Ovis aries: one gene and its partners. The protein of the gene in region 3 purifies or fractionates together with the protein of the main gene of each other region. This does not show direct contact. Links are inferred from orthologs where the notes say so. Each region holds a gene or a part of one and is shown on either strand. Other genes may lie near its edges.

Region 1 (7,787 bases), on a different chromosome or scaffold from region 3:
CTAAAACACACCTGGCATTCAGAAGCTCAATCGTTAATGACTTAAATAAGCCAGTGAAAGTTAATCAGAATAGCATGAACAAATCTTCCTGCATCCTGAAAAATGGACAGAAGGGAGACAAAGAGAAAATATTAAGCAGAACAGATGAGACTTCAAACATTTGTAGGTTAATAGAGATGTTCACTATCACAGAATTAAGTATGCACATCACTTAGAGAAGCATGGCAGTTAGAAAACACATTGCTTTGGACTTCTGAATTTTGAATTACCTAGGACTTCAAAGGGCTTGCCTCTTTGAAGCTGGTAAAGAATCTTCCTACAAGCAGGAGCCCTGGTCGGGAAGATCCCCTGGAGAAGGAGTCGCCAACCCACTCCAGTATTCTTGCCTGGAGAATCCCACGGACAGAGGAGCCTGGCAGGCTACAGTCCATAGGTCACAAGAGTCAGACATGACTTAAAAACTAAACCACCACCAGGAGTTTAAGAGGACAAGGCAAAATAGGATTAAAAAAAGAAATGTTTGAAACATAGTTATCCTTAAGACAGTAGAAATTCAACTGTTACAAAAAAAGTAACAGGTAACACTTACTGAAGACCCCATACACTGTTTCAAGAGCTTCGCCTATTAACTCACTGAATCCTCACACTCCCCACCTCTTATCATCACACTACATGAAATTTACTGAATGGACAATACACTGAAGCTAAGGTAATTCCTAGCCTAAATGAAACCATTCAGAGAAAACTTGTGGGGAAAGAGGCTGAGGACAGAAAGGATCGGTATGTGCGTAGGGGGCAGGTGGTGGTGGTTATGGGGTGATGAGTTGTCATAAAACTGAAAGCATGCCAAATAGGCAGCCAGCTTTATCAAAATTCTTAGGAGATCAAGGAAAAGAATAGTAATCTTACTGTGAATGTTTAATTCTAAACTCTCACTTATAGTATTTTGCCCAGTATTCGGTAATGCTAAAAACCAATTTCATTTCCTATTAATTCTTAAGTATAAGGTGTGGTTACATACTACATAAACAGATTGGAAGACTTCAATTGTCAAAAAACCTTGAAAACTGAAGGAATTTTGACTTAACTATGCAAATAGCTTTAAACAAAACTACTCACATTTTTTATGATCCATGAACCTACTCATATCTTTTATGAAGGGAAATCTCTTTCAGAACATAATGAAACGTTAATTCATTTATCCAGTCATTTAAGATATTTTAGAATTCTGGCATTAAAATGATCAATAATTAGAAAGTCTTATGAAAACAGACTGGAAAGGAAAAAAAAAAATCAAGTCTTCACCTGAAGTTGAAATATAAATCATGATGAGCAAGTCATCCTGAAGAAAAGATATGAACAGCTAGCTATTCATTACATTTTCATTTACTTGATACAAAGACTATATTATATAACACAACTGAAATGAAGCATCATGTGTGGTTCAACTTTCAAATATTTTGTTCCATATTTCCTGGACCAAATGATACTTTACTTCTTCAAATTTTTTTCAATATAGTATGGCACATACATTTTATCCCTTCTGAATAATGTTTTTCCACAGCCATAAAATTAAATATTATACATTATAATTAAAATTGAAAGTGAGCTTAATAGACACTTAAAAAATCTTAAGTCTTACTTCCTAAAAGTACTTGAATAACAGTCTAGCTTTTCTCCAGTACAAACTAGTAAAGATTGATTTATGGAATCTTCATACAGTGTTATAAATATATCAGGAAAAATTCACTTATACTATCCCTATTAACAAAGTAAAAGTCTCAAGTTCTAAAATTACATATGCCTTGTGATTTTAGAATATATTTGTTAACTATGAGTGAATGATTCTTTTCCCTTTTAATATTCTTTTAGAGCTTCACAAGTTTGTTCCAACTGCTGAACTGGTCATGTCCATAACTTCAGATCACCTCGATCTTCCCATCCTTTTTTCCTTCTGAGATGAAGTAGCAATCCTTTAGAAAACCCAAGATTATTAAAAACGAATAAATAAACGTTTAGTAGTCTGCTTCTCACCTTCCTCACTACTTATTATTCTGGTCTAACATTCTCTATCTTGTTTACCAATTATCTAACTGAACCAGGCATCTATCTCAGTTCAAGTAATTATGTTCCAAGTCTTAAATAATTTTACATATCAAATTTCACAAATAATCATCAGTTGATGTTAGAACAATTCCTTATTTCCTGAGGCTGTGTGAAATGCAACTGGGAGAAAATATTTCGGAACACAAACCTAAAGATTAAATTAGGGACATAAATAAAATGCTGCAGACATCAGTAGTTTATTGTTTGTTTAGTCCAAACACATTCAAAATGGAAACTCAAAGAATACTTTCCACCTGAAACAATTAAACTAGATACTACTAGCATATAATGCTTAACACATTACAGCAATAAAGATGGTAATCCATTGTCTTCTATACCTACTAAAGCCAAGATGGTAAAGCCAATTTGGTTGCAATAGTGTCATAAGGATAGAATAGAATATTACCATCCAAAAAATAAAAACAAACAACAACAACAATAAAAAAACCCAGCAAATAACAGTTACGGTAGATGAATATTTTTACTCTGGTTCACTGAAAAGGGGACAAAATGTTAAAAGTCCACAGTACTGCAGGTGAACAATCACCATGTAAACTTCTCCATGTGATGTTTTAAAGTTTTATTCATGGTATGTAAAGACTGAAGCTGAATGGCTCTTTGCTTTAATTTTCTATTACACTTAACATTTATCATTACTTTTGGTGCCAGAACAGTTTTCATGGGCGGTAGGGCAATATCTTGGATCGAAAATTTTACATATATATATATCAAATGAAGGAGGAGAAAGAAATGAAAGAGGAACAATATGCTATATATAAAAAAAAAAAAAACACTGACAAGAAACCACTTATTTAAAAGCAGTTTGAATAAAAGCTTCAAAACTCAAAAGTAATTTTCTTGTAAGAACTTCAAGTACTATACATTAGAAAGCGTAAATGTATTTCAAACAGGAAAAAAAATCCTTAAGCCCCCCAAAATGGAAACTGAGAAATCTGTGTCCCCAAAATATATCCAATAGTGCAAGACTTTTCCTCGAACATGGAAGACCTCATTCAAGGTGGGGAAAAAGGGGACAGGCTTAATTTTACTTACATTGCCCAGTACATGGAAAACAAAATATGTGCATCATTTGCTAGTTTACTAAATAGCAAACAGTTTCATAATTAAGAAACAGTTTGCTATTATGTCAAGTGCATTTTTTGTTTGTTTTTACTAAGACAGAATGGAGAAGTCTTCCATGCTACAAGCAGCTTTAAGTGGTCACACTTATTTACCCCACTCCTGGCCTGAAACATCAGAAACTGGTAGGTACCAAATACTCCAAGCATAAAATCGGATATCCTTTGTCATATTTGTGGTTTACCGGAACTTGCTATAAAGACAGACAATAATCCAGCAGCTACAAACTTTGCTCACAGAATTGTTTAGAGATTCATGTAAAAATAAAAGATGTCATCCCAGACTTAAATTCAGAGCCACTCGGGTGCTGACATCAGGTCAAGAATTGTGCAAAATGAATGACAGTTCCCTGCCCCCTCAAATAGAAAATGCAAACACTTAAGAGCTGCTGTTCTTTTTTCTCTGAAAATTGCAGTATCCTTACTTTAGGTTTACGTGCCATTTATGGAATCTGACTGCTTTTAAAAGGTCACTAACAATGTACATCAAGTTGACTGACTTTTCCAAGCACCTCTCAAGTGATACGCTTCAATGTTCACCTTCAGGCTAAGAGAAAAGTCAACAAGAGACTTTGACTCAAATAACTGACTTCCTCCTTCCCTCTGCCTCCCAAACACACAAGACTCCCTCCCACAGAGAACACAAAGTTGTTAACTGAAGAACAAGGTAAATAATATACTAGTCAATTTTACTGATTTTAAAGATACTGCAATTTTTATATACTTCAATGATTTCTCAACATTTTGCAGCTGTTTGGCTTTGCAGCACAGCAATTTATACACTATACTGTACAAAATTACCAGCAAGACTGGAATGATGTATTAATAGAAGGCACCATCATGCGTATTACATTACCAGAGAACAAAAATACAGTAAAGACAATTTTCACTGTACACAGCTTAAAGAAAGGAAAAGGGGGAGGAGGAGTGTGTTGAGCAGCCAGCCATCCCTGTACTGAAGAGGGGCAGGTAGAAAAAAACCTTAGATATGGAGCTACTAAATCTGGTCTAACATTCAAGACCATAGCATTTGAAGTTCTGATCTTTGTTATTTCGTTCATAACTAAATGACTTCCTTCTGGAATATACTTGTAGTCTTGTTAAGGTTTATGTGTACACACGCTGGTCACAGCAAGCAGGTAAAAATGCCCTCATCATTTCACAAACTATGCTCTACTGGAAAAAAAGATGAAAGATTTTTTTCCCCTCTTGCCTCCTGTTGCAGATGTCAAGGTTAATGAGTTCAGAGTACCCATTAGTGCATTCTGATGAGTGCATAACAAGTTTCTGTTGGTTTGTATTTTTGGGGGGAGCCAAGAAAAAAAGGCAAGATTCTCCAATTGCACAAATTGCACTATTTGTGTTTCCAACAATAATAGGCAGAAACAGTAACACTTAAACAAAATGTGCAGCAGAGGATTTTTTTGACTCAAAGGACCTGAATTCAGTTGGGCATGTCCTTTTAAGTTCACTTTGTTGTAGACAGTTTAAGATATGGTCATTTCTCAGTCCTTAATTCTCCAAGTCTAGATTTATAAATTAACAATGCGAATCCTGTTGTAAAATTGGGGAAATAATGTCCACCTCAATTTAACTGATAACCGAAAGATGCTTTTCACATCAAAGAAATGATCAAAAAGGCTGTGTCACATTCCAAAGCCAAAAAAAAAATTAACAAGAATGCAAACACGATGAATAATGTACCACTGCCAAGACTCTGCCAACAGTGGAGCCTCAGCGACGCTGTCCTGTGAAGCGGCCTTCCATCTGCCCGGCTCCTCTCCCAGAGCCAAGTTTCTGTGCCATGCCACCTCTCGGAGGGGGTCCTCTTCCGTCCCGGTCGCGCATCATTCCACCGCCCACTATTCCCCGGGGACCACCAGGACCTCGATCACTGCGCCTAATATCCCGGCGGTCATCACCACCACCTCGAGTTTCTCGCTCTCTGGCAGCTCTTGTCTTTTTCTCTTCCACATTTAAACGTACTTCCCCTCGAAACATAATTGGCTTTAAAAAGGAAGAAAAAAATGTACATGGGCAGGTTAGACGGTAACAGTGGTGTAAGAAATAGTGAAAAACATAAAAAAAACTTTCGAAATTCTCAATATGCAATCTATTCTCGATATCCAACCTTCTTTACCAGAGTAAATAATCAAACACATTTATTTTAAAATGACCCATACCTCAAATTTTAAAATTACTAACATATCTTTATTCTTTGCATAAATACTAGTTCATAGTAAACTATTTTTAACTGTACCATTTAAAAAAGACTTATTCACATTAAATACAACAGGAATAATAAGGTATTCAATTATGCCATTTAAGTCACTTACTTTTGCAATTAAGATTCTCTGAACTGGTTCAGAGTCATCAAAAACCACAAAACCAAAATTTGGAAGCTTTCCGCCAACACCCTTGGTATTGATGCGAAGTTCCACAACATTTCCAAAACCTGTGAAAATATACATTACACAAAGGATAAAATAAAATACTTTAACAGAATATTTTGTAACTTTAACTGTTCAGAATAAAATACCTCATTCTTCCTGATCCATTTCAAAACACAACTTGCAAGCTGCTATAGCCAGTGCATTAAGGTACTTTCACTCTTACAGGTTATTCATTTAACATGCCAACAACTAGCCTATTCTGTTGCCCTGCATCTTTGTCAGTCCATTCAAAAGGAAAAGTTACCTACACATTTTAGAGAGACAATTTTATTTTCTATATTAGATTTGTATTTGCCGGATGAATCCCATTTCCAAATTTAAGACTGATTCACCCAGCTCTTTCTTCTAACCTCTACAGAACCAGGTCAATCAACACGAAGTACACTCACTGGGAAACATCTGATATAACCTTATACTCCTGATCAATTAAAGGTGACCGGTACCTAGAGATACACACTATGTACAGACGTAAATGTTTTTTTAAAAATCGTATTATGAAAAAAGAACTCTCCTCAGTGTAGAACACATATACAATAGAATACTACTAAGCCATTAAAAAGAATGAAATAATTCCATCTGCAGGAATATGGGTGGACCTAGAGATTGCCATACAGAGTGAGGTAAGTCAGACTGAGAAGGAGAAATATCATATGACATGATACATGGAATCTAAAAAGAAACAACACAAATGAACTTACTTATGAAACAGAAAAGACTCACAGAGAACGAACTTATCGTTTCAGGAGGCGGGGGGGGCGGGGCGGGGCGCACACATAAAAGGGAAGGGATAGTTAAGGGAGCTTGGGATCAACATGTACACACTGCTATATTTAAAATGGATAACCAGTAAGGACCTACTGTAGAGCTACATGCAACTCTGCTCAATGTCATGTGGCAGCCTGGATGGGAAAGGAGCTTGAGAGAGAATGGATACATGTATATGTATGGCTGAGTTCCTTCATTGTTCACCTGAAACTATAACACTGTTAATTGGCTACACCCCAATACAAGCTAAAAAGTTTAAAAAAATAATCGGTAACTAACAAAGGGGAAGAAAAGTCTAGAAAAAAAATTTTTTTTTAACTCTAGAAACTACAGCAAATCAAAATAGTTGTCAGAAATATCTGGCATTACCGTCAATTATCTGCAATATAATATTATGTGAAAATCCTGATTATTAACAACAGAATGCTTTCTCTGAAATAAACGTCAAGAAGAATAAGTCTTATGATTAGAAAAAAAATTCTCTTCACCTCCTGCTTAATTTTACCATAAAGCAAACTAAACCACTTACTCATGAAGAACTCTTTTAGTTCATTTTCATCAATATCATGTGGCAAGTTACCAACAAAGAGTTGATGACTATCTGGATAGCGAATTATTCTACGGTTCTCAGATTCATTCTGTTCAATATCTCCTCTGCCTGAGAAGAGGAACAGAGCAGATATTAAAGTTTACAATGTCATATAATAAAAATTAGTTCAAAGCAATGAAAGTTAAAAACCCCAACACTTGATATTCTTGTTTTAGTTTAATAAGATAATAAGCTCCTTTGAGTTGTGGAACTGCCTATTATTAGTAGGTCAGTTAGAAAACAACATGACACCGAAGTGTTACCGGAAGGTACTGACTAGATTGCTAAAGTCCCTTCTTCTAGATCTACTGGTCTGATCATGTGAAAGCCAAGTATCAGCAGTACAAGTATTTCTCCTTAACCAAACTCTTGCATCACCCAGGCACCAAACTGATTTTAGATACAGTGAGATGTTTGTACTAAATATTTGTTTAGTACTTTACAGTTCACAAATTAATCTTGTATAAAAAGATTATTGTATAAAATTATAGCCAAATCAGTCAATTTAACAGCAATACTGTCATTTATATAACCTTTTATACACCTTAGGGTGCTCATATATACATATGTAAAATCTTATATGATCCTCCCACTACCACAAAGAACAGAATGAGGCATATAAAGACAGGCATCACACAGAAAAAATTTGTGTAGTAACTGAATGGTTTAAGAGAATGTCATGATTTAAGGGTCTTACCCAAGATCACAAACTCAGTGACAAGGCTGGGATAAATC
Region 2 (7,470 bases), on a different chromosome or scaffold from region 3:
TCACGGTGGGCTCCCTGCTGGAGCAGGGGGCCCTCCTGGAGGGCATCCGCTTCATGGGACGACACAGCGAGTTTGCGGCACACACCCTGCTGCTGTCCATCTGCTCTGCGTGTGGCCAGCTCTTCATCTTCTACACCATCGGGCAGTTTGGGGCTGCCATCTTCACCATCATCATGACCCTCCGCCAGGCCTTCGCCATCCTCCTTTCCTGCCTCCTCTACGGCCACACTGTCACTGTGGTGGGGGGCCTGGGAGTGGCTGTGGTCTTTGCTGCCCTCCTGCTCCGGGTCTACGCCCGGGGCCGTCTAAAGCAGCGGGGAAAGAAGGCTGTGCCAGTCGAGTCATCTGTGCAGAAAGTTTGAGGGCCCGAGGAATGACTAGGACCCGCTTGCTGTACCAGTTTCTCTCCTGTCACTCCTCAGAGGCAGCTGGCTCCAGGGCAAAATGCAGGTTTCTTGACCAGCGCTGCGGCAGGGGGCAGGGAGCCCAGGAGGCGGCCTTCCCCGTTGCCTTAAGTCACCCAGCCTCCAGTGGGCAGGATTCTCCCCAGGGTGGAGAGAACAGTGGGGGACTGAGAAGGTGGGGGCGCCTTCCGAAGCCCCTGCTTCTCCGGTTCTCCGAAGTCTTGCCCTGGAGGCTCTGCTAGTGCCTCACCTGTGCTTGTCCCCTACCTTGACTACTACCCTTTCAGACTCCGAGACATGCATTTCTTACTCTGGTGAGAGAAGCACACGTGTTGTAGGCTCCCGATGCTGCTTTCCCAGGAGAGAAAGTGAACGATGGTGCTGTGCTGGGCGAGGGCTTGGGAATCCTGCCCAGCACCACCAGCCCCCCTGCTCCTGGATCCCTAGGCTCTGCCCTATGAACCAGTTGCAGGTTTTGGTACTTTGGAAATACAACTTTTGCTCTTATGATTTTATTTTATTAAATTAAATTGCTGCAGTGGGTTTGGTCCTGTGTTCTGGTTGACTAAGTACAAACATTCAACTTCAGATACCTAAAACTTCCATTAGCTCAGAACTGCCTACAATTTGTTTTACAAGTGTCAAATGTTTAACTTGTTTAAATACTGAAAGTGGAAAAAAAAAGTGGTTTCTAACATGTGCCATTTCTTGGTCCTTGTTTGTGGCCTGGTGGCTGACTGGAAACTGCAGCTCAGTGCCCAGCAACACCAGTGAAGGTACCTCCTACTGTCAGCCCAGGAAAAGGTCAAAACTCGAAAAGTACTCAATGTATGCTTTTGTTCTACCATAGTAAACTCAAATTTTGAGTGGAAAATCGTCTGTATATGCTAAGCTTAGGAAAGGGAATTCTGAAAGTGTTATGTGCTAAGTTGCTTCAGTTGTGTTCTTTGTGACCCTATGGACCGTTAGCCTGCCAGGTTCCTCTGTCCATGTAATTCTCCAAGCAACAATACTGGAGTGGGTGGCCATTCCCTTCTACAGGGGATCTTCCCGACCCGGGGATTGGATTCACGTTTCTTACCATCTGCTACATTGGCAGGTGGGTTCTTTATCACAATACCACTTACCTTCAGTGTTATTTTTGAGAAATTGTAGCTAATTCACAATGTTAATTTCTGCTGTGCAGCAGCAGTTGTTTTACGGTATTTTTTTCCATTATGGTTTACAATGGGATACTGAATATAGTTCTCTGTAGGGCTTTTTTCTACAGAGGAAAACTTGGGCCAGCTGACCCTAATGCCCCACTCCATCACCCTCTCAACCACCAGTCTGTTGTCCCATGATTTGATTCAGATTCATATTTTCCACAGACATCCCACATAGGTGGTTATCAAGTGGTATGTCTTCCCTGTTAGTATAACCTCCAGTGGCATCCATGTGGCTGCAAAAGGCATCACTTCTTTAATGGCTGAGCATCTCACTGTGTATGTGTCCATCTTCCTTATCAGTGACCACGTGTCCACTCTCGACTGTCAGTAGTGCTGCTGTGAACACAGGGGTGTAGGTTTTGTTTTCTCTGATGTTATGTCCAGGAGCGGGATTGCCTTTTTTAGTTTTGAGGAACCTCGTTCTCTACTGTGGCTGCACCAGCTTTGGAGCAAGACTCCAGCCCCACCCACAGCATGGGAAGGTTCCCTTTTCTCTGCACCCTCTCCAGCATGGTACTGCAGCTTTACAATGATGGCCATTTGGACCCATGTGTGGTAGTACGTCATTTTTTCATTTCTCAAATTAGCATCTTGAACCTCTTTTATCTACTGGCCACCTATGTTTTAAGAGAAATGTCTATTTAGTTCTTTGCCTGTTTTTTGATTGGATTGAGTTGAACGAGCTATTTTGGAAATTCAGCTTACGTCTGTTGCCTCATGTGCAATTATTTTCTCCCTCTTTGACTCTCTCTCATTTTGTTTCTATGGCTTCTAAACTTACCCGTGATGGTTTTAATATCTTCCTATGTATCACAATTGGGCTTCCCTGGTGGCTCAGCTGATAAAAAGAATCTGCATGCAATGCAGGAGACCTGGATTGGGTTGGGAAGATCCCTGGAGAAGGGGATGGCTACCCACTCCAATATTCTGGCCTTGAGAATTCCATGGACTGTATAGTCCACAGGTGTCTTAAGACTCAAGACAAAACTGAGCAGACATGGCTGAACTGACTTTCACTTTATGTACCATGTTATCTACTCAGAATGATGGCAGGCTAAGATTTGTAAAGGGATACATACAGGATAACTCCAAAGGCAGCACTGTATATACTTAAATCTACGAGAGCAGAACTGTGTAAAAAACCTGCATCTTCTTTATTTTCAATACTTTAATTTCAGAACAAAATAAACAAAACACAACACACAACATTCAAACCCCATGTCAAACGTGGAGAGGAATCGGGCGTGAGGCCCATGTATCCTGCCTTAGAAGGACAGAAATAAAACCACTAGACGTCAGCAGAGGGAACCACATGGGCCAGGGCCACAAGGGCGGCTGCTGCTGCAGGAGCCATGGGGACGCTATACAGAGGGAGCAGTCTGCAGGTATAAACTCCTAATCTACTTCTTCCATGCGAGAGGCGTCCTCGTCACCCTCAAGGGGGGGAATCTCATCAGGAACAGCAGCACTGGGCTCCTCTGCCGTCACCTCATCTTCATCAATGCCTAAGAGGAAAGAAACCACATCAGGTAGGCCCCCAAAAGCCTTCAAAAGCGCCTGACACACCTTGCTACTTGAGAGGACAAAGGTACTCACCCAAGCCAAGCTTTATCATGCGGTAGATACGGTTGGAGTGGGTCTGGGGATCCTCAAGCGAGAAGCCAGAGGAGAGCAGTGCAGTTTCGAACAGTAGCACCACCAGGTCCTTGACGGCCTTGTCGTTCTTGTCCGCCTCTGCCTTCTGCCGCAGGGTCTCCACGATGGGGTGGTCAGGGTTGATCTCCAGGTGCTTTTTGGCCATCATGTAGCCCATGGTCGAGTTGTCCCGCAGTGCCTGGGCTTTCATGATGCGCTCCATGTTGGCGGTCCAGCCGTAGGTGCTGGTCACAATGCAGCAGGGTGAGGACACGAGCCTGTTGGAGATCGTCACCTGAGGGTAGGCAGAAAAGCTCATTGTACTGAATCGAATTACCTCCTCAAGGCAAAGATGCTCATCTCTACTCTTTGGGGAAAAGTGTCATCTTTGGTAAGTTCTATAGAAATACCAACCTTAAGAGAACAAGAAGTAGGGTGGCACTAAGCAAATTAAGCTGCCTAAACCACTAACTGTAGCAGCCAAAGATGGGAGGAAACCACTCTGAAGGCATCGCTAACAAGATAACTTTGCTTCACAACGGCTTACCTTCTCCACCTTCTTATCCAAGATCTCCTTCATGAGTTTGCAGAGGTTCTCAAACTTTGCCTTGCTCTCCTCCATCTTCTTCTTCTCCTCCTCATCCTCAGGCAGCTCCAGGCCCTCCTTGGTCACAGAGACCAGACTCTTCCCATCAAACTCCTTGAGCTGCTGTACACAGTACTCGTCGATGGGCTCCGTCATGTACACCACCTCAAAGCCCCGCTTCCGCACGCGCTCCACAAATGCAGAGTTGGCAACCTGCTCTTTGCTCTCACCTGTAGGATTACTCAGTGTGACTCAAGGGCCAAAATGCCTCATCCTGCCAGTTCCCCAGGACCCTTGAGTGTCTGCCCCACACCTCTAAAAAAAGGCTTTTATCAGACCTAGGTTCCAACGTACCAGTGATGTAATAGATGGACTTCTGGGTCTCCTTCATGCGAGACACATATTCTGAGAGAGAAGTCATCTCATCTCCAGACTGGGACGTGTGATAGCGCAGCAGCTCAGAAAGGCGTCGCCGGTTAGTGGAGTCCTCATGGATTCCAAGCTTTATGGGTAGGGGAAAAAAATAATTTTGTTAGGAAATAACTTATCCTCTCAGTGAATGAAAAAAAATCCATTCTAATTATTAAGCAAGTACTTGCTGCTTACCTTCAGGTTTTTAGAGAATGCCTCATAGAATTTCTTATAGTTCTCCTTGTCTTCTGCTAGCTCAGAGAAGAGCTCAAGGCACTTCTTAACAATGTTCTTACGAATAACCTTCAAGATTTTGCTCTGCTGGAGCATTTCTCGGGAGATGTTCAGGGGAAGGTCTTCAGAGTCAACCACCCCACGGATGAAGTCTGAAATCAAAATATGGAAGCTGGGTTTTAAAGATACAGGAGTGGCGGGGATAAAGATAAAAGGTATATAAAGTCATCTGGATTCAACAGAAAGACTGATTTTCTCACCAAACTTTCACTTGTTAGGTTGCAGAGGATCCTTAATCTAAGATAAAGACTCCAGCCCCCGAGAACGCAGAAACGAACTACATTAGGGCAAAAAGATACTCACTGAGATATTCCGGAATCAACTCATCACAGCTGTCCATGATGAACACACGGCGGACATACAGTTTGATATTGTTCTTTTTCTTTTTGTTCTCGAAGAGGTCAAAAGGAGCCCGACGGGGGATGAACAGCAGTGCTCTGAATTCCAGCTGACCTTCTACAGAGAAGTGCTGAAAGAAATCCAAGATAAGCTGACTGTGTACTCAAGAGTGGCTTTTGGTCCCAATACCAAAATGTCCAATTATTTGAAACAAAAACTTCCTATCCCTGTAGAGAAAATTTAAGCCCTAATGCCCTAAATGAATCCAACTGCAAGCACTATATCATCTTTGGGTCAAAGACTCCAGGTGGGTAAAGCCACCAGAGACAGGTCACAGGGGAAGATGTCACTTCTCCACCCTGGAAGGGTCCATTAGCAAATCAACTCATAGCATTCACAGTTCCCAGCTACCAACCAGTTGGGTAAGTTCCATTTGTCCATATCAGCTCCTCCTACTGAGCCAACAAGCAAGACTTCTTACCTTCACTGCCAAGTGATCTTCCCAGTCATTGGTAAGACTCTTGTAGAACTCTCCATATTCCTCCTGGGTGATGTCATCAGGGTTCCTGGTCCAAATGGGCTTGGTTTTGTTCAGTTCTTCCTGATCAATGTACTTCTCCTTTATCTTCTTTGTCTTCTTTTTCTTATCCTTGCCACTATCATCCTCCTCGTCTGAGCCCACATCTTCAATCTTAGGCTTCTCTTCATCATCTTTATCTTCCTCTTCTTTCTCACCTTTCTCTTCTTCAGCCTCATCATCACTGATTTCCTTCTCACGTTCTTTCTCCAGCTAGAAGTATCAAAGATGACAGTTTCAGAGTACAAAAAAGCAAAAAAAAAACCCCAAAGTCCATGCAATTCTCTCAAGCAGCAGTTACCTGCACTTGAGTTACCAGTCCATACTCACATAAAGTGTGATGGGATAGCCTATGAACTGAGAGTGCTTCTTCACCACTTCTTTGACCCGCCTCTCTTCCAAGTATTCTGTCTGGTCTTCCTTCAGGTGGAGAATCACTTTGGTACCACGGCCAATAGGCTCACCTAGAAAAAAATTAATCAGAACAGAATATAAGAAACTAAATAAACAAACGCAGAACTATAACTGCTTTACACATACAATACTCAAGATCTTCATTAGTGTTTCCCCAGAATGCTAATCCAGACACCTTAACAGGAAAGCCAACTTACCATGGTCAGCCCGGACAGTGAAGGAACCCCCGGCAGAAGACTCCCAAGCATACTGTTCATCATCATTATGCTTTGTGATCACCACCACTTTCTCTGCCACTAGGTAGGCAGAGTAGAAGCCCACACCAAACTGCCCAATCATGGAGATGTCTGCACCAGCCTGCCAAAAAGTTTAAAAGTCAAACTCAAGTTTCAAAGAAATGGCAAAGCAAACACCAATAATATAAATGGAGTGTGCCTAACCAACCACGTACCTGAAGAGCCTCCATAAATGCTTTAGTGCCAGACTTGGCAATGGTTCCCAAATTATTTACAAGATCAGCTTTGGTCATGCCAATGCCCGTGTCTACCAGAGTCAGAGTACGCTCCTGGGGATTCGGGATGATGTCAATTTTCAGCTCTTTACCACTGTCCAATTTAGAAGGGTCTGTCAGGCTTTCATAGCGAATCTTGTCCAAGGCCTGAAAGTACAAAATTGCAGTTTTACAATTCTGCTTCCTCAAAACCCATCTCACCCAAAAAGTTTTTTAAACTCCCCAAATACGCTAATTCTGATTACTCCTTTAGCTTGTAGGTTGAGAACGACATCCAGTGGGTTACAGTATCCCATCTATCCACAGAGAGCAAGGCAATACTTTTTGGAACAGCAGTTAAGTTTATATCCCCCCTTTATCAGTTAACACCACAAAATGCCAAACCACCCCCACTTTCCCTCTCTTGGAGTACTTGAGAAACAAAAAACCAACGTCAATGAAGACATTCAGGGCACTCACATCAGAAGCATTACTGATCAACTCCCGAAGAAAAATTTCCTTGTTGGAATAGAAGGTGTTGATAATAAGAGACATGAGTTGGGCAATTTCTGCCTGGAAGGCAAATGTCTCCACCTCCTCCTCTCCATGGTGCACTTCCTCAGGCATCTAAAATAAAAAGCAAGAATTTAAGACTCCTCAAGTTCACCCTCAGCCACAATACACTTAAGGAGACTCTATTCAAACTGTTTTGAGCTGGGTACAAAGACTGGAAAATCCTTCCCTCTATCAATTTCAGGCAGCACCCTTAGAAACAACGGGGGGAGGGGCGCACCTAACACACTGAACAAATTGCGCTAATGTTTCTTGCAAGTTATTGTGAACCCAAACTCCTGTTAAGTGAATCATAGATCAGCACAATCTAGTTAGGCACTCCAACCCAGGTATCTCGAAAGCGAGGTAAATTCCCATATATTTAAATACGCAAATTACTATCGTTCCACCTTCAAAGTAATTAGTTTCACATTAAAGGGCAATCATTTAAAACTGTCCTCCCATTAGGTAACTCCAAGGAGATAATGTGGTACTGCTGCCTCCCGTAGTAGGGACAGCTAACTCGAGATTGGCGGAATGCCCATCCAGGTGGGCTATCA
Region 3 (8,309 bases):
GTTCCCAGGGGTGATGATGCAGTGCCCACCCCACTGCCCAGCATGGGCAACTCCCTCGCCTCCTCCCCATGGGTGATGACTTCCTTCACAGCAGTCTCCACATGTAAACATCTACACTCATCAGTACAAAAAGCTTCAGCCTTTATTAAATAAAGAGGAGGTAGAAGACAGATGCAGAAACAGACTTGGGACCCCCCTCCTCCTGGCTACACATATACAGACACAGACACAACTGAGAAAAGGACAGGGACATTTCAGGGGACAGACTGAGGGGCAGAGGGAGGCAGCACCCTGCGAGAGTGGGCTCGGACCCAAGGGTGGGCAGAGACCTGGGCCAGCGGCAGGCGTTCTGAGGGGTTATGCTTGAGCAGCTTGGAGATGAGGTCCTGGGCTCCCATGGGCACAGAAGGAGGGAACTTTAGGTCCACCTGCAAGAAGGAGAGACAGGCTTCATCCTAGCTGCTTTTGCCTCCACTTCCCACTCTATTAGCAGGGTTTAACATCAACAGCAACAGTGTGCCCACTCCCTGCCCCAGCCCCTGAGCTGGCACAAACTCCAGCCAGACCCCGGGGGCCAGCCTCCCACCTTGACAATGCGCCGGTACGTCTCATTGTGGGAAGCACTCTCGAAGGGCGGGTTTCCCACCAGCAGCTCGTAGCAAAGCACGCCGATGCACCACAGGTCCACCTTCTCATTGTGCGTGCGCCCCTCAATCATCTCTGGGGGCAGGTAGTCCAGAGTGCCGCACATTGTCTTCCTCCTGGGGTGGGGCGGGGGAAGAGGGGGAGTGGGCAGGGATCTCAGATCCAGACTTTCCCTCCTTTCCCTGCAGCCTGACAGGGAGCCCAGACCGACCACAGGATGTGCCAGGGGTCTTCCAACCAGGCTCTGATGGGGTCTTTGGGGTAGGAGTGGGGCTAGCACACTGACTCTGCATTTCCACACTGAGGGCCGTACCTTAAAATAAATCAGATATGAGGGCAACGTTCACCTTAGAATTATAGGAAGAATTTCAGATGTTCATCAATCACATGTTGCTTAATCACATTACATTTCTACTGTGCAATACTATGAAGCCACTAAAAATGATGTGGGAGTATTCTCAGTGATATGGCAAGAAGGTCCCATTGTTTCAAGTGAGAAATCTGAGTGACAAAACTGAGACTCCTATTTTTGTTTTTGGCCACGCTGCACGGTTTGCAGGATCTTAGTTCCCTCGACCAGGGATTGAACCTGGGCCCCCTGCAGTGAAAGCTGGAGTCCTAACCACTGGACCAGCAGGGAACTCCCAAAGTCTCCTATTTTTGTAAAGATATTGCTGTGTCTATATATTTACATGAGAACAACCCAAAATGTCTCTGGGTAACAAGATCTGAAGTGGTTTTATTTTGAATGGCTTCATACCCAGGGCTGGCCTTCTGGCCCACCATACCTCAGGGAGGGGGCATGCACCGACCAGCCAAAGTCAGCAATCTTCAGCTCACCCCGGAGCCCCAAGAGCAGATTCTCTGGCTTGATGTCTCTGTGAATCACCTTCTTTGCATGGCAGTACGTCAGAGCATCTGCCAGCTCCTCCATGATCTGGGGGGCCAATGGCAGACAGTCAGAAGAGGACTGACCTCAGGCGGCAAATGGCATCCCCCAGCCTCCAGGCCCCTGCCAGTGCCCCAGGTGCCCACCCGCCCCGACCGTGGCTGTTCGCTGCTCATCAAAAGTTCGGCTCTTCTGCAGCTCCTTGTAGAGCTCCCCCTGGGGGGCATACTCCAGAATCAAGTAGATCCTTCGCCGGTCATAGAAATAGTTGTAGAGACGCAAGATGTTGGGATGTCTGGGAGAGGAGACAGAGGAGGCATCAGGCTGCATTCTGGCCTAAGGAAATGGGAAAGATGACAGGTCGCATTGGGGCAAACTGGGTCAGGTCTGGGCCAGGTAGGGGAAGCCAGTTGGCAGTCCTAATTGGGGACCGGAGGTGATTTTCTGGATTCAAGGCTCTGGCTGGGATTGAGAGCTCATTGGGGCTGCGTGGCCACAGCTACAGAGAAGACAGTCTAGATGTGGTGGGGTTGGAGGAGGAGTGGGGTTGGGGCGGCAGGGGCTCTGGCTCAGGGGACGTTGAGCGTACTGGAGATGGGCTTGGATTTCGATCTCTCTACGCAGCTGGTGCTCCACACCCTCCTTCTCGATCTGAGACTTGAAGAGGACTTTGAGTGCCACGATGAAATGGCTTTTCTTCTCCCGAGCCAAGTACACATTTCCAAACTTGCCTTTGCCCAGAGGACGCCCAATCTCAAAGTCATCGATTGTGAAGGAACGCCTGTTTGGGAAGCAGTGGTGGAGCAGCTGAGCAGTGGTTAGTTGGTCCTCTGAGGTGTTTGCCTTCTTTCTGGACCTCTGCCCCTCCTGCCTGCAATCCTGCTTCTCTTCCAGGGGAGCTGAGGATGGATCAGGCTTTCTCACCTGCATCCCTCCTCCTCCTGCCTTTATTCCACCCCGTCCCTTGCTACCTCAAAGCTTGGGGAGCTTACTTTGGGATGTTGAGGGTCCCACTGCTGTTCTCCACCACCTTCTGGCCAGGGGCAGCTAAGGAAAGAACAGGGAAGTTGAGGCCATCCTTTGACATTTTCATCCCCACCCACCCTCTGCAGACCCTAGTTCCCTCAGGTCAGTCCCCTCCCTTTGTGCTAGTTTACCTGTGGGCTGGGCATTGGAGCGACTCATGAGGACAAGCGCCGATGGGATGACAGCCTCCTTCCGGAGAACTCTCTGGGGCAGGGTGTTCAGGCCAGGCTGAGCCTGAGAAGGACCAGAGGGGAGCTCTGAGGGTGCCTTTATCCCAGTGACCGGGTTGGAATGCGCTACAAGCAGCATTTCAGGGCTTGCTATAAAGCCACCCACCTACCCCACCCCATCCCCAGTTCAAAGAGGAACAATGAGGCCACAATTTTGCTACTCAGTCTTGTCCATAACACCACTCATTTACCTAGCCCCCTACCCCAAAGGGCAGTAGAGGCTGGGGTAATGAACACCCACAATTCAAGGAGCTTCAGAACAGAGGTATTCTCACAGTTCCCTAAGCTTGGTCTGTTAAGGCTCAGATAAGATCCTTGGGGCCTTGAGTGTTCAGCAAATCTCAGTATTTACCGCTTTGCAACAACAGGCTTTAGGGAAAGTGAAGGCTATTCTAATTGTCCTGGAGCACTGTCACTGTCAACTTCTGAGTAACACACCACTTTCTTCTGGGAGTGACTGGTGTAGACATGACAGTGTCATCTCATTCAGCCTCCCCATTCAGAGCTTCACCGGGGAGGGAGCTGGTGGACAAGGGGATAGAGGGACCCTCCAGGATACTCAAGCCCCACTAACAGAGAACAAAGCTCATGTAGGGCCCCTTCTTTCTTCTTTAACCAAGAGAGAGCCTCAGTGCTCCTACAGACTTGTTCACAAACAGCGAATTTAGGATTTACAAATAAGCAAGTTGAACAAAATGGAGTCCAGAAATAGATCCACATATATATGGGAATTTAATATATACAATAACGCTAGCATTTCAAATCAGAGGGTAGATTCTTCAATGAAAGGTGTTAGGACAACTGGAAAATAAAGCTTTTTAGACGCATATGTCACACCGGTCATTAAAATCCAAATTCTTAAGTAAGACTTCTCTTGGACCTTTTAAAGTTATAAACTCATCTAAATAGCTTATATCTATTTCCTGCCTAGCCTATTTTTTCAGGACAACAGTTGAGATTCATGGCCTAATAGGCTAGACCCTGCCTGCTCAGTCCCAGACGCCATTTGTATGTGACAAGTAGGCTCAGCTCTGCAGAGGTCCTCACAGGCTGGTCAAATTCAAACTGGCAGCACCAGATAGGATGAGGCTACAAATGACCTGACTGGGGCCCATGCGCTGGTGCAAAGCCAGAAGAAAAGTGCTAAGAGGATCGCCCTCTGCAGGATCTCGAATCTGCAAGCAGGAAGTCGCCATGCTGATGGGGAGAGGGGAAGTGAGAAAGCCCTTACCGTCTGCCGGCCATAGGGCCAGGGGTAGGCGTTCTCCTTCTGGGCCATCCGTAGAGGGAAAGGGGGAAGGAACTGGGCAGAGAAGAGAAATAGAGCCGTGAGAAGCAAAAACAAAAAAAAAGGAGAGAGAGTGAGGGGTCGGATCGATCTAGCCGGAAGTGTTTGCCTGGGGTGGGGGGGGGGGCGAGTTGCTGGTGAAAGGGAGCAAGTCCAAAAGCTGGCTTCATCAGAGCGCATCCCCGCACTCGCCTCTCCGCCCCCACCCTGCTACCGGCCTCACTCCCTTCCAGGACCCTTTCTCCACCCTAGAGCAACCAACCTGCCGGATCACCTGGCCTCTCCCGGAGCAAGAATCCCGAAAGAAACCCGTGGTGCCTTGACCGCTGGCAACAACTGAATCCGTCCGGCCGCGCCTCCTCACCCCCGCCGAGGTCCTTTCAAATCTCCCGCCCGGGTCCCATTGGCTGAGCCTGCCGCCCATGCCCAATTCTCATTGGCTAATTATCCCATGACGTAGCTCCAGAGGCCCAATGGAAAAGGCGGAATGAGAGCCGGGGCAACCAGGGTTTTAACTTGGGAAAAGTTTTCCTCAAGCCTCGAATAGTCTTACTGGTGTTTTGTTTTTAAAATTTAAGTCATCAATATAACCTGGAATTTATTCTTGTGTATATGTATGAACTGGACTTCTGTGGTAGCTCAGCGATGAAGAAACCTCCTGCCAAAGCAGGAGACGCGAGCTCGACTCCCTGTCGGGGCGATCCCCTGGAGTAGGACACGGCAACCCACTCCAGTATTCTTTTCTGGGAAATCCCATGGACAGAGGAGCCTGGCAGGCTACAGTCCATGGGGTCGCAAAGAGTCGGACATGACTGAGCGAAAAGAGAGAGAGAGAAAAAAAAAGCAACTAGGTTTTCTTCCATGAGCCAATCCATCTCCTTCCCTAATTCACTAAGTTACGAGTTTTGGTATTTGCTGTCATAAGCATACTAACCGATACGCATCTACAGATCTAGAGAGTTAACAGTTATTTGGGTTGAATGATGCGATACTGACAATCATCTGACCCACAGAAAACACTAATTTCACATGATTCAACCCAATGTAAATTAAATAAATCCAAATGAGTTTCTACATCAGTTCACAACGCTTTTGGCTGCAAGTAACAGGAAACTCAGTTACCAATGGCACACACAACAGACATCTATTTTCTCTTCCACAACAATAAATCAGAAAGTAGGTAGCTGGCTCAGGAACTGAACAATGTAAGAGGTCTGCATTGACCTCTTCTGTGATTCTCTTAACATTCCCCTTCCGACTTCAAGGTGAATGCCAACTGTCTCTGTTTCTTTTAACAGAAAAAGCAGAAGGCTTCTAAAAGTCCTCATATAGGAATTCCTTGGTGGTCCAGTGGTTAGGACTCGATGCTCTCACTGCTGTGGGCCAGGGTTAAACCCTGGTGGGGAAACTAAGATCCCCAGAAGCCACACGTTGGGGCCCAACTCTTGGTGACCCGATGGGCCATAGCCCACAGGCTCCTCTGTTCATGGGATTTCCCAGGAAAGAATACTGGAGTGGGTTGCCATGTCCTGCTGCAGGGGATCCCCGGGACAGGGAGTCCAACTCCCGTCTCCTGCTGTGTGGGCCTTCCCTATCACATGACTACTGCAAAGGCAGCTGACAAAGTAACTTTGTCTTCCAGCCGCTACAGTTAGAGCAGCTAGGGGCCACAGTGGTAGCCTCAGGTAGCCACAGCTACCTGCAGCGGTAGAAACTGCAGGGTGCCACAGTTGTTTACAGGTTTATTGTTGGGAGCCCATGATTTTTTTAAAGTTGTAAATCTGTGCATGATGTGTCTCTAGAGATTTGATGAATATGGCCACCAGTGAAAAAAGCATTTTGCTTCTGGAAATGTGATGCTGTTTTCACTCAGGGTCAGCCCAACACCACTTCCCAGAATCAGAGATCCCATTTCAATTTCAGTGCCTTAGAGTTTTTTAGTGCCACATATAGAGTAACTAGCTAGTAAAGAGCTTTAGAAAAATCCTATCACTTGCAGTATACTTTATCCCTCATAACCTAGTGAAAGACTTTTCTAGAGCCTGTCAGGGACCTTGTGCATGGGTGGGATATCCCTGATGGATCCCCATACAGTTTCTCTGTCCATTGGAGTCTTTAAATTCCCCCTGCACATTACATCAGAAGACATCTGGCCTTTCAGAAATAGTTGATGGGCCACCACAAAATTGAGATTTGTGTTATTCATAAAACACGAAGCAAAACAAAACCTATCTGCTCTGGCAGCTAGGCAACCATCAGCTGCCTGTTCAAGTTAGTGAACAGAATCTCCATTATTTACCCCAGTGCTTCGCAAATGATCAGTAGGGAAGAACCATTTTTAATTATTTGCAATCTATCACAAATTGATGCTTTTACAACTTACATTAAAAATAAATTCCTTGAAAAAGTATAAAAAATATAAAAATTACAAGAAGACATATTTTTTGGTTGTAACTAGTATTTATAATGGCAATCCACTTCAGTATTCTTGCCTGCAGAATCCCCCATAGACAGAAGAGCTCTGCAGGCTACAGTCCATGGGGTCGCAAAGAGTTGGATACGACTGATCGACTACGCACAGTATAGCACAGTATTTATAAAAGTACTCTGACAAATGCTGTAACAGTTTTAAAAATACCTAACTCTCAAATTCTCTACTCATCCTGAACCTGAAAGTAATATTTCACGAAGTGGCACCAGTCTGTGGACCACAGTGAGTACCACCAATCTGCCTCCAGTGCAGTTCAGTTCAGTTCAGTCGCTCAGTCGTGTCCGACTCTTTGCGACCCCATGCATTGCAGCACGCCAGGCCTCCCTGTCCATCACCAATTCCCAGAGTTCACCCAAACTCATGTCCATCGAGTTGGTGATGCCATCCAGCCATCTCATCCTCTGTCGTCCCCTTCTCCTCCTGCCCCCAGTTCCTCCCAGCATCAGGGTCTTTTCCAATGAGTCAACTCTTCGCATGAGGTGGCCAAAGTATTGGGAGTTTCAGCTTCAGCATCAGTCCTTCCAATGAATACCCAAGACTGATCTCCTTTAGAATGGATTGGTTGGATCTCCTTGCAGTCCAAGGGAGTCTCAGGAGTCTTCTCCAACACCACAGTTCAAAAGCATCAATTCTTCAGCGCTCAGCTTTCTTCACTGTCCAACTCTCACATCCATACACGACCACTGGAAAAACCATAACCTTGACTAGATGGACCTTTGTTGGCAAAGTAATGTCTCTGCTTTTCAATATGCTATCTAGGTTGGTCATAACTTTCCTTCCAAGGAGTAAGCGTCTTTTAATGTCATGGCTGCAATCACCATCTGCAGTGATTTTGGAGCCCCCCAAAATAAAGTCTGACACTGTTTCCACTGTTTCCCATCTATTTCCCATGAAGTGATGGGACCAGCTGCCATGATCTTCGTTTTCTGAATGTTGAGCTTTAAGCCAACTTTTTCACTCTCCTCTTTCACTTTCATCAAGAGGCTTTTGAGTTCCTCTTCACTTTCTGCCATAAGGGTGGTGTCATCTGCGTATCTGACATTATTGATAATTCTCCCAGCAATCTTGATTCCAGCTTGTGCTTCTTCCAGCCCAGCATTTCTCATGATGTACTCTGCATTGAAGTTAAATAAGCAGGGTGACAATATACAGACTTGACGTACTCCTTTTCCTAATTGGAACCAGTCTGTTGGTCCATGTCCAGTTCTAACTGTTGCTTCCTGACCTGCATACACGGTTCTTAAGAGGCAGGTCAGGTGGTCTGGTACTCCCATCTCTTTCAGAATTTTCCACAGTTGGTTGTGATCCACACAGTCAAAGGCTTTGGCGTAGCCAATAAAGCAGAAATACATGTTTTTCTGGAACCCTCTTGCTTTTTTGATGATCCAGCGGATGTTGGCAATTTGATCTCTGGTTCCTCTGCCTTTTCTAAAACCAGCTTGAACATCTGAAAGTTCACAGTTCACGTATTGCTGAGCCTGGCTTGGAGAATTTTGAGCATTACTCTACTAGCGTGTGAGATGAGTGCAATTGTGTAGTAGTCTGAGCATTCTTTGGCATTGCCTTTCTTAGGGAGTGGAATGAAAACTGACCTTTTCCAGTCCTGTGACCACTCCTGAGTTTTCCAAATTTGCTGCCATATTGAGTGCAGCACTTTCACAGCATCATCTTTGAGCATTTGAAATAGCTCAACTGCAATTCCATCACCTCCACTAGCTTTATTCGTAGTGATGCTTCTTA
Region 4 (7,787 bases), on a different chromosome or scaffold from region 3:
TTCCTGAGGTCTCACCTGAGTAGGTGTTGAGAGCCCACAACCTGGGGTCCCATTTCAGGCACCAATTCAAGCAAGCAAAAGAATCTGGGTCCCCTGGGATTGGGTCCCGCAGGCACAGACAACCCCAAAAAGAGGACTACGCTCTAGCCTCAGGAGGCTTTCAGCCCCTTCCAGATGCAGCAGCCCTGTGGCCCTACGGCCATGCTGGAACCTGACGCAGAGACAGGCGACCCGGGCACGAGCCAGACCTGTCCTTCCTGTCTCAGGGCCTGATTCTCTGTCAAGAGCTGCTAGAGAATGAGACAGCACGCAGCGTGGACTTACCCTTGACCCCCGCTGGGGCCTGGCCGCCCCCCCCCGACACACACACAGCAGTGCCAGGAGCTGGCTGGGACTCGGGCCCCTCCACACTCTGCAGGCCCACCCGGGGCTCCTGCAGAGGGTGGTCCTTCCATGGAAATAAGTCTCTGGGGCTCCTCCTGGCTCTCAGATTCCCAGGTCTCGGGGTTAGGCGTGTAACTCATTCCCATGCATACAGAGATTCTTGAATGCCCTCAGGCTGCCCCACCCCCAGGTGGCCCCCAGCCCACCACAGCTCTGCTCCCTCAGCTGCTTCTGACTGTGGGGCCTCCAGTGTGGGGTCCACACCCACGTCAGGCAAGGGACTCCAAACTCCAGGTCCACAATCCTGCCTCTGCAGACTGTGGCAATGCTGGGCCAGGACATGAGATGGTAACAAGCAGACCACCAAAGGTGTGTCCACGTGGATCACCCTAAAGCAGGATTAAACGGAAACTTAACAGCACTCGTGGGCCTGGCTCACCGTGAAGAGAGGTGAGAAAGGATCCCCTGCGCAGCACAGCGGCCCCCTCTGCCACGGCCAGGTCCTGAAGTGTGCACAGCGCCACTGCTCTCAACTGTTTCACCCACGCTACATCCCAAACCGAATTTCTTACCCTAAACAATTTTACCCTAAAGGAGGGCTTTAAAAGACTAAAGTTTTCCTGTTGCTTCTCATGTAAGTTTTTGATGTTAAAACCCGAAAGAAACTTCAAGAAGCTATTCCAGTTTCCCAAAATGTGCCACCCAGAACTCAGGCTCTGTGGCAAGCCAGTGGGCGGGACAGGAAGTGAGGGCCGTTTCTCACGTAAGCTGGAGCATGCTGTGCTACACCAAAATGAAGCAGCGCTTCTCCCCAACTAAAACACGCCCGTGTGCAGCACGGCCCTCCAGGAGAAGGGCTGTGGTCCGCAGAAGGAGCTGCGATGGGGAACACCCTTCTCAGGAAGCTCATGAAGAGGCGTGTGCCAGCAGGGGGACCATGGGTCCCCTCAGGACTGACCGCAGAACCCTGCCCCGGGGCAGGACACGAGAAAGAGGTCTCTGGTCAGAGCGCTCAGCCGCGCAAGAGCGTGGCCCTACCTGGTAATAGTGGGGGGCTGGGCCAGGGTCCGGCAGGTATGCGGAGTATGGGTACGGGGGCTGGTAGCCGTCATACAGGGGCCTGTAGTAGAAGTAGGACGCCAGGTCGGGAGGCGGGGGCTGCAGCCACTGCTGGTCGGGCCGTGGGGCCGCCTGGCCCGAGCTGGTGGACACAACAGAGGCGCTGGAGGACCGAGGCGGCCGGGGCAGCAGCTGCTGACCCGCGTCAGCAGGAGCTGGGCTTGCGGGCCGGGCCGGGTCTGCAGGCTGTGCCTGCACCGGGGGACTCCCCGGGTTTGATGGCTCCGGAAGCACTGCTCTGGGCCCTTGTGGAGCAGGCAGTGGCAGTGCCAGCTCCTGCTGGGCTCTCTCTGCACCAGGCTGGTCATGAGCCTCTTTCATCACCTGCTGATAGAAACGGTCCGAGGTGTTCGCCCCAGGCCCAGGCGGCCGACGACTGGCAGCGGGCTGCTGAACAGAGGCTGGGCCATCCACGTGGGCCAGGCTGTACACTCCTGCAGGATTTTCCAAAGTCCTACCAAACATGAAGTCCAGGGCTCCCGAAGCTCCGTCCCGCCTGCCACAGAGGCCTGGCTTGCTGTTGTCAGGCAGGGAGGTGCTACTTGCAGGCGGCACTAACACCAGGCCTGCACACCCCGCAGGACTGGGCACCTCCTCAGGAGGCACACTCTCTGCGTTGTGGACCTTCTGACCTTCTGGAAGCAAGGTATTTGGATGAGAGTGCGGTTGAACCAGCAAATTAGCAGCTTGATTAGAAACCATGTCATAGGTACCAGAAACTTGTGGAAAAGGACTCTGAGCCAGATGGTTAGGCAGAGGCGAGCAGATGAGAGAGCTAGCTGGCATCCCAGACAAAGGTACATTCTCTCCAGGATCACCCCCGGCAGCCCGGCCGCTGACTATGGGCTTATCTCCCGCCGAAGAGTCTCTCCAGGATGGAGCCTTCTCGTCAGGATTTGGTAAGGACTGAGAAACGTTGACAGGCTGAGCCAGCCTATAGCTTTGATCGGGCTGGGCGATCAAGATGGGCTGATTCTGCAAAGACTCAGCGGGTGGGGAGGACAACAGGCTGGCATAGCTGGGGCCAGCCTGCGGCGGGAGGGCCTCCTCTTCGCCAAGCTGCGGAGGGTTCTCCAGGTTCTCAGAAGCGCCAAGGCCATCCCCACTCTGACCGCCAGAGCCCACCTGCCGTGCCGCCCCCGCGTCTGGGGGCTGGATCACCTCAGACGGCTGAGGTTTCACTGGCACGTGAAGCGCGGGAGCCGCTGGGGCCAGAAGGACATTGCCCCCAAAATCGGGGAGCTCGTTCTGTGCCCACAGGGTCGTTGCGGGGCTCTCACACTTCACAGGCCCCTGCACCCTGGTCGAGGGCCTCTTCTCAGGTGTTGGCAGCACCGTTTCCAAGGGCGGCCCCGTGGCCTGCAGAAGCCCACGTCCGGCCTCCAGGGGGGTGGCGAGAGGTGGCACACAGCGCTGTGGCGGGAAGAGGGTCTCCATGTTGTCGGGGGGCTGCTCCAGGTTGCCAGGGGCGGCATCAGGCGTGGCAGCGGCGGCCCTGTGCTGCTGGCGGGCACTGGGCCCCCTCACCTCCCCCACCACATTGGCGCGATCTGCCTCAACGGGCTTTACTCCAACCAAGTGCGATTTCACGGGTTCAAAAGAACTGTTTGCACTCGTCTGAAACACCCCCGTAGGTTTTGGGGGGCTTGGGGTCGAGGGCTGGGACAGGCTGCCAAGGTAGTTCTGGCTGCTGGTCTCGTCTGTCTCGCCGCCGACAGGAGAAGAATCGATCTGCTTAAAAAACCTCCCTGGAGACTCATCCTCAGGTTTTCCCACTTCCTGTTGAATGAAGGTACCCGAGTCGCGGAGCCTGGCACCTGGAAGGCCCCGGTGGCTCTTGCCGCTGTAACCGGACGACACGCTGTCAGACCGTGCAGGGCGCGCTGTCATATCCAGGGCCTCGAGATTCAGGCCCCCGCCTCCCACAGGGCCCACCGCACCGAGCCTGGGGCCAGCTGGGCCAGGAAGGGGCCCGCACCTGAGCAGATCGCCTGGGGAGGAAGGATCCATGCTGAGGGGCTCGCTCGGCAGAACTTCCTGGTTCTGAACGAACTCCAGGTTCTCAACATTCTCGTACTGAGCCCCTGCACGGGCCGTGTCTGCCCACACATCCACGGTGGCCACCTTAGAGGCTGCTTTCTCGTGAGGGCTACCTGCAGACTGAGGGAAGTAAGGCTGTGGCTCCCCCCCCAGCTGCGTGGGCTCGCCGCTGGAGCCTCTGGGAAAGGCCTGGTGAGCGCCTCCTGCGCCCACACGTGTGGGAAGCTGGCCGAGGCAGAAACCGTCCACGTCGGCCTGCCCGGCAGAGCCCGCTGTTTCCAACGAGAGGTTCTCTTCATTCTCTGTCTCTCCTCCTTTGAAAAACATGGCGAGTGCGCCCGAGCCCGCCTCCAGTGGGGTCCAGGCACCCCCGGCCCCCGGCGAGCAGTGCGAGTGGCTTTCCAGGCCGTTTCCCTGAGCGAGCGGGCTAACGGCAGCCAGGCCCGACAGCTGCTCTCTGTTCACTCCAGGACTCGACCTGAGCTCCTGGTTTGCCCGAGCATTTCCAACTCTGGAATTCTGCCTGAACGCGCTCTCTGGATCAAAGCTATTTGCTGAGTGGTCTCCACTGGGCAGGCAGACGGCCTCGTTTCTTCCGTCACTGGCTGAGGGTCCTGGTAAGGATGCCGGGGGGCCGAGCTGCTCATGGCCAGGATGCTGATGCAGGCTGGACAGAGGGGGAAAGTGGGTGACGCTGGAGGCGTGGGGCCCTGGGATCTGCGGGGGTCCCTCTGGGCCAGGCCAGTACTGCTGACCCGGGGGCCGTGGGCCTCCCTGCCCTGGCCCCCACTGCCCAGGCACTTGCTGGCAGGGCTGAGGGGGGAGCGGGAGTGCTGCTGGGGGTGCGGCACTGTCGGGGGGGCTCGGCCGGCTCAGGGGTCTGTCAGGCCGAGGCACGTGCCCCTGCGGAAGGCCCCCGCGAGAGCCACTGGACCCCACTGCTGGAATGTACTGTGGAGGGTACGGCGGGTTCGGGAGCTCAGGCTCTGGGCCGGGAGCCTTGGCACTCCTGTTTGTCTCGGGCCCATGTGAGGCCGAGGGCATCGGCGCCCCGGGAAATGGGCTGGCATCTGCCCTGGGCTGCACCGGAGGCCCTGGCAGAGGTTCGCAGGGCCCTTGGGAGCTGTCCCCAGTGTTTGTGTGAGGCACGGGCAGACCAGCACGCTGCAGGGATGATGGCGAGGGTGGGCCTTGCAAAATGGGCGGGCTGCTTTTAGACGAACCGCCCAGCGATGTACTCTGGAGAGCCTGTCGACTGAAAGCAAAAGGATCTGTCACTGGCTGCAGTGGGCAGGTTATCGGGGCCATCGGAGTGTGACTGCCGGCCTGTCTCCTATAAGGGCTGTTAGACCAGAACATGGTCTGAGGACTCCCCGACGGAGGCGGCCGGACCACGCCCGAAGGGACGGCCTGGGGCGGCGGCTGCATGACTGAGCTCTTGCACAATGAGATGCTGCTTGCAGAAAGAAGCAGGAGGGAGGCTTTCCTTAATTTGAACTGAAAAAGAAAAAGAGGAAAAAAAAGTTAGCATAAAATCCATTTATTCATAGTCCTGGCTACAATCAGGAAAATTGAGAAAGATGAAAAAAATGGGAAAACAGTTTTGCATCTTGTAAGTCCTGAGGGATACACCCACCCCTCGCCCACCCCTGAGAGGACTGCTATCCTGGGAGCAACAACACCGGCCTGGATGCCAAGGCTGGCCGTGCTGGGGCCGGCCAAGTGACTTCAGACAAGTCACTGCCCTTCTGTGAAATTCAGTTATGTCACCGAGCTACATACCCATGTGGAATGCCCACTGCCTCCACAATGCCCTCAGCAAGCTGGCAGGGACCAAGCAGAACCCAACACGGGGCACCAGGTACACAGTGCCTCCACATTTTCCGACAAATTATCACTAAGTCCGGAAAGAGCCGCCTCCTCTCTTAAGATCACATATCGTACTTTTCACACAGGTCAATTTTATATTTGGAAAGGAAAACCAAAGTTAAAAGCCTGCTTCTCCATTTTAACTGAAAAGCGTTATAAAGCACAGAGTCAGGTAAGCTGCAAAATAACAACTATCTGAATTCTATGTGCCTAAAACACCTTTTATCCCAGCCTGTAAAATGTCTCCTTTTCCACACGGTGACGGGTTGCACACCATCAGCAAAACAAGCTGCGTCTGATGACTGGAGCTGTAACAACTATGCCTGGAATGAAAATCCCAAGTAACCATAAATCGGTGCTAAAACTGAGCAACTAAGTTCATTCAAAACTTGTCAGTAATAAGCAGACGGCCCTCAAGCCCTTGGCGGAAAACAAAGGAGCAGAAATCCTCTTTACAGCGTCTTTTGTGGTTGTCTGTTTTTTAATAAAACATACTAAGTATAATCTTGAACAGTTAATCTGCACTTTTAAGACAAAAATCCAAGTACCGTCTCTTTACAAATTCCTCTTCTGTGTGTCAGCCCTCCTCCCCAGCGACACCCTCACAAATGGATTAAGAGGAGCCCATCACAGAGAAGAGCCGATACCAAAGGGAGAAGTGACAGAAGGGCTCTGCAGCGTCATCTGCATGAAGCACCACGTTTCCGTCCTTGGACAGAAGAAATTCTGGCAAAAGGAAAAGTGAACGAATGCACATTAAATCCAGTCAGTTCCTAACGAAAGCTGCCCGCTGCAACTACTGCTCCGACAGGGCCTTCTCCCGGGCCAACAGGGAGTCCTTTCCAATAGACAAGCACTTTGACACTCACTCAGATTTCATGGAATTAAATATGCGAAGAACTGCATCAGCGACTTCCTTTGGTTCTAAGCTGTCATTTGAAAACTAAGAACACTTACTGCTCAGCTTTACATGGACCCAGGGGAGAAGAGCAGAGCCTCTTCCTCTTACATGTGAAAGGGAGGCACCCAAGGCCTCTTCCAAAGACATGGCCTCCTCCTTGGAAGACTTCAACAGGAAACCCTCAATCACACTAAACAGCATATATTAAAAAATAAAATACAGAGCATAGGCCCACAGGATTAATTCCTTAAGTGTCACCGTGAGAAAAGGACTGGGCGCCAGCTGAATGGCCCAGCCGCACCGCTGCTCCGTGAGTGACCCGATTCCTTCATCTATAAAGCAAGAGAACTGAAATGATGGTTTCAAAGTTCCTTCTGGGTTTAGTCTTATGAAATTCTATTCACAGTGGATTCTGGAGGCCCTAATCCCTACAGCTGTTTACGAGCGAAATCTTACCTGAATCTAAATTTCACAAAACATTTATACTCATTTATTTTCCTTGCAGAAACTTTCTTAGCATTATTTTCTCAATTCCTAAGGATCACTTCATAAGCAGACACTATCACTTCCCTCCAAAGTAGCTTCCCCTTCTCCCCCTGACCACTAAGAGCTTTTCAACAATAAACTGTTTCATTTGGAACAATGATCTGCCTTGAACATTATTCTTTTCATCTTTTTCTCTATTCATCAGCAGAAAAACAATGCAAGCACATATCGTTTATCTCAACTATAGGGACTTTCATTCTGTCCAGTAAGTCATTCTGTAGCCTCAGGTCATCTAACTTTAAAAATGGCAGACTGCTTCAAAGAAACCAGCTGATCTTCCTAAAGATATATTACTCATAACTGTAGCTCTTCAATTAAGCTGCCTTGGATCTACCTGAAATAAGCACAACCTGTTTCAATATAAATTTCTGGCTACTGAACTGAGATAATGAAAGCACACATCTCTCCTGCTAGGGCAGCTGCCTCAAGCACGAGCATGAAAACCAACCGGAGCTCCAAGAAGTACTGGGGAGTCCAGGCTCTGCCCTTGAGGCGACTGCCACACAACATATCCATCAGACTATGGCATACCGGCACAAGGACAGCACAGACCCCCAACGCTGCTGAGTACAGAATCAAACACTGAGATGCTAGGGAAAAGGAAGGGGGTTTCTCAACACTGCCCAAAGCAACAAAGAGCCAAAAGGACACTCTGACGTTAAGTCAAGATGCTTACAGAGGCTGGAGGGAACCGTGTTAAAATTTACACGCTACCCTAAAGAAAACTTTTGAGACTTAAACTGCAGTAACTTGCTGTTAAGGCATTATGAGTCACAAAAAACAAGAAAGAAAGGACTTTTTGCCTCCTGCTGGATCTCTACAAGACAAGAGCACCTGGAACCCTAAGAAAGAGCATTGCAGTGGGGCGGGGGAGGTGGGAAGAAGGGCAGTGCAGACACCTGAGCAAGTGTCACCCTAGGAACAACTG

Evidence for each region. Proteins that work in one complex are often made in the same cells at the same time.
Region 1: the proteins of AURKB (region 3) and G3BP2 purify together in Homo sapiens (affinity purification with mass spectrometry; 3 studies listed by BioGRID and IntAct, with this or other methods). This does not show direct contact. The link is inferred for Ovis aries from reciprocal best matches to the Homo sapiens genes AURKB and G3BP2.
Region 2: the proteins of AURKB (region 3) and HSP90AB1 purify together in Homo sapiens (affinity purification with mass spectrometry; 6 studies listed by BioGRID and IntAct, counting the BioPlex papers as one, with this or other methods). This does not show direct contact. The link is inferred for Ovis aries from reciprocal best matches to the Homo sapiens genes AURKB and HSP90AB1.
Region 4: the proteins of AURKB (region 3) and SEC16A purify together in Homo sapiens (affinity purification with mass spectrometry; 3 studies listed by BioGRID and IntAct, with this or other methods). This does not show direct contact. The link is inferred for Ovis aries from reciprocal best matches to the Homo sapiens genes AURKB and SEC16A.

The regions. Positions count from the first base shown.
Region 1 is NC_056059.1:91,227,024-91,234,810, forward strand, and holds the end of G3BP2 (ras GTPase-activating protein-binding protein 2), read right to left. Parts: intron 7,122-7,787; coding exon 6,993-7,121; intron 5,701-6,992; coding exon 5,582-5,700; intron 5,253-5,581; coding exon 4,980-5,252; 3' UTR 2,285-4,979; downstream 1-2,284.
Region 2 is NC_056073.1:17,735,587-17,743,056, reverse strand, and holds the end of HSP90AB1 (heat shock protein HSP 90-beta), read right to left. Parts: intron 6,986-7,470; coding exon 6,839-6,985; intron 6,527-6,838; coding exon 6,320-6,526; intron 6,226-6,319; coding exon 6,066-6,225; intron 5,919-6,065; coding exon 5,785-5,918; intron 5,668-5,784; coding exon 5,359-5,667; intron 5,008-5,358; coding exon 4,842-5,007; intron 4,631-4,841; coding exon 4,440-4,630; intron 4,336-4,439; coding exon 4,188-4,335; intron 4,064-4,187; coding exon 3,795-4,063; intron 3,543-3,794; coding exon 3,209-3,542; intron 3,118-3,208; coding exon 3,008-3,117; 3' UTR 2,744-3,007; downstream 1-2,743. Other genes in the region: SLC35B2 (adenosine 3'-phospho 5'-phosphosulfate transporter 1), read left to right, coding at 1-362. UniProt on the Homo sapiens protein: Molecular chaperone that promotes the maturation, structural maintenance and proper regulation of specific target proteins involved for instance in cell cycle control and signal transduction. Undergoes a functional cycle linked to its ATPase activity.
Region 3 is NC_056064.1:27,652,963-27,661,271, forward strand, and holds AURKB (aurora kinase B), read right to left. Parts: upstream 4,433-8,309; 5' UTR 4,341-4,432; intron 4,094-4,340; 5' UTR 4,070-4,093; coding exon 4,022-4,069; exon of another isoform or gene 2,795-4,021; coding exon 2,692-2,794; exon of another isoform or gene 2,582-2,691; coding exon 2,527-2,581; exon of another isoform or gene 2,316-2,526; coding exon 2,124-2,315; exon of another isoform or gene 1,830-2,123; coding exon 1,691-1,829; coding exon of another isoform or gene 1,681-1,690; exon of another isoform or gene 1,583-1,680; coding exon 1,434-1,582; exon of another isoform or gene 762-1,433; coding exon 587-761; exon of another isoform or gene 429-586; coding exon 255-428; 3' UTR 121-254; downstream 1-120. UniProt on the Homo sapiens protein: Serine/threonine-protein kinase component of the chromosomal passenger complex (CPC), a complex that acts as a key regulator of mitosis.
Region 4 is NC_056056.1:3,025,633-3,033,419, reverse strand, and holds part of SEC16A (protein transport protein Sec16A), read right to left. Parts: intron 5,041-7,787; 5' UTR 4,972-5,040; coding exon 1,423-4,971; intron 1-1,422. UniProt on the Homo sapiens protein: Acts as a molecular scaffold that plays a key role in the organization of the endoplasmic reticulum exit sites (ERES), also known as transitional endoplasmic reticulum (tER).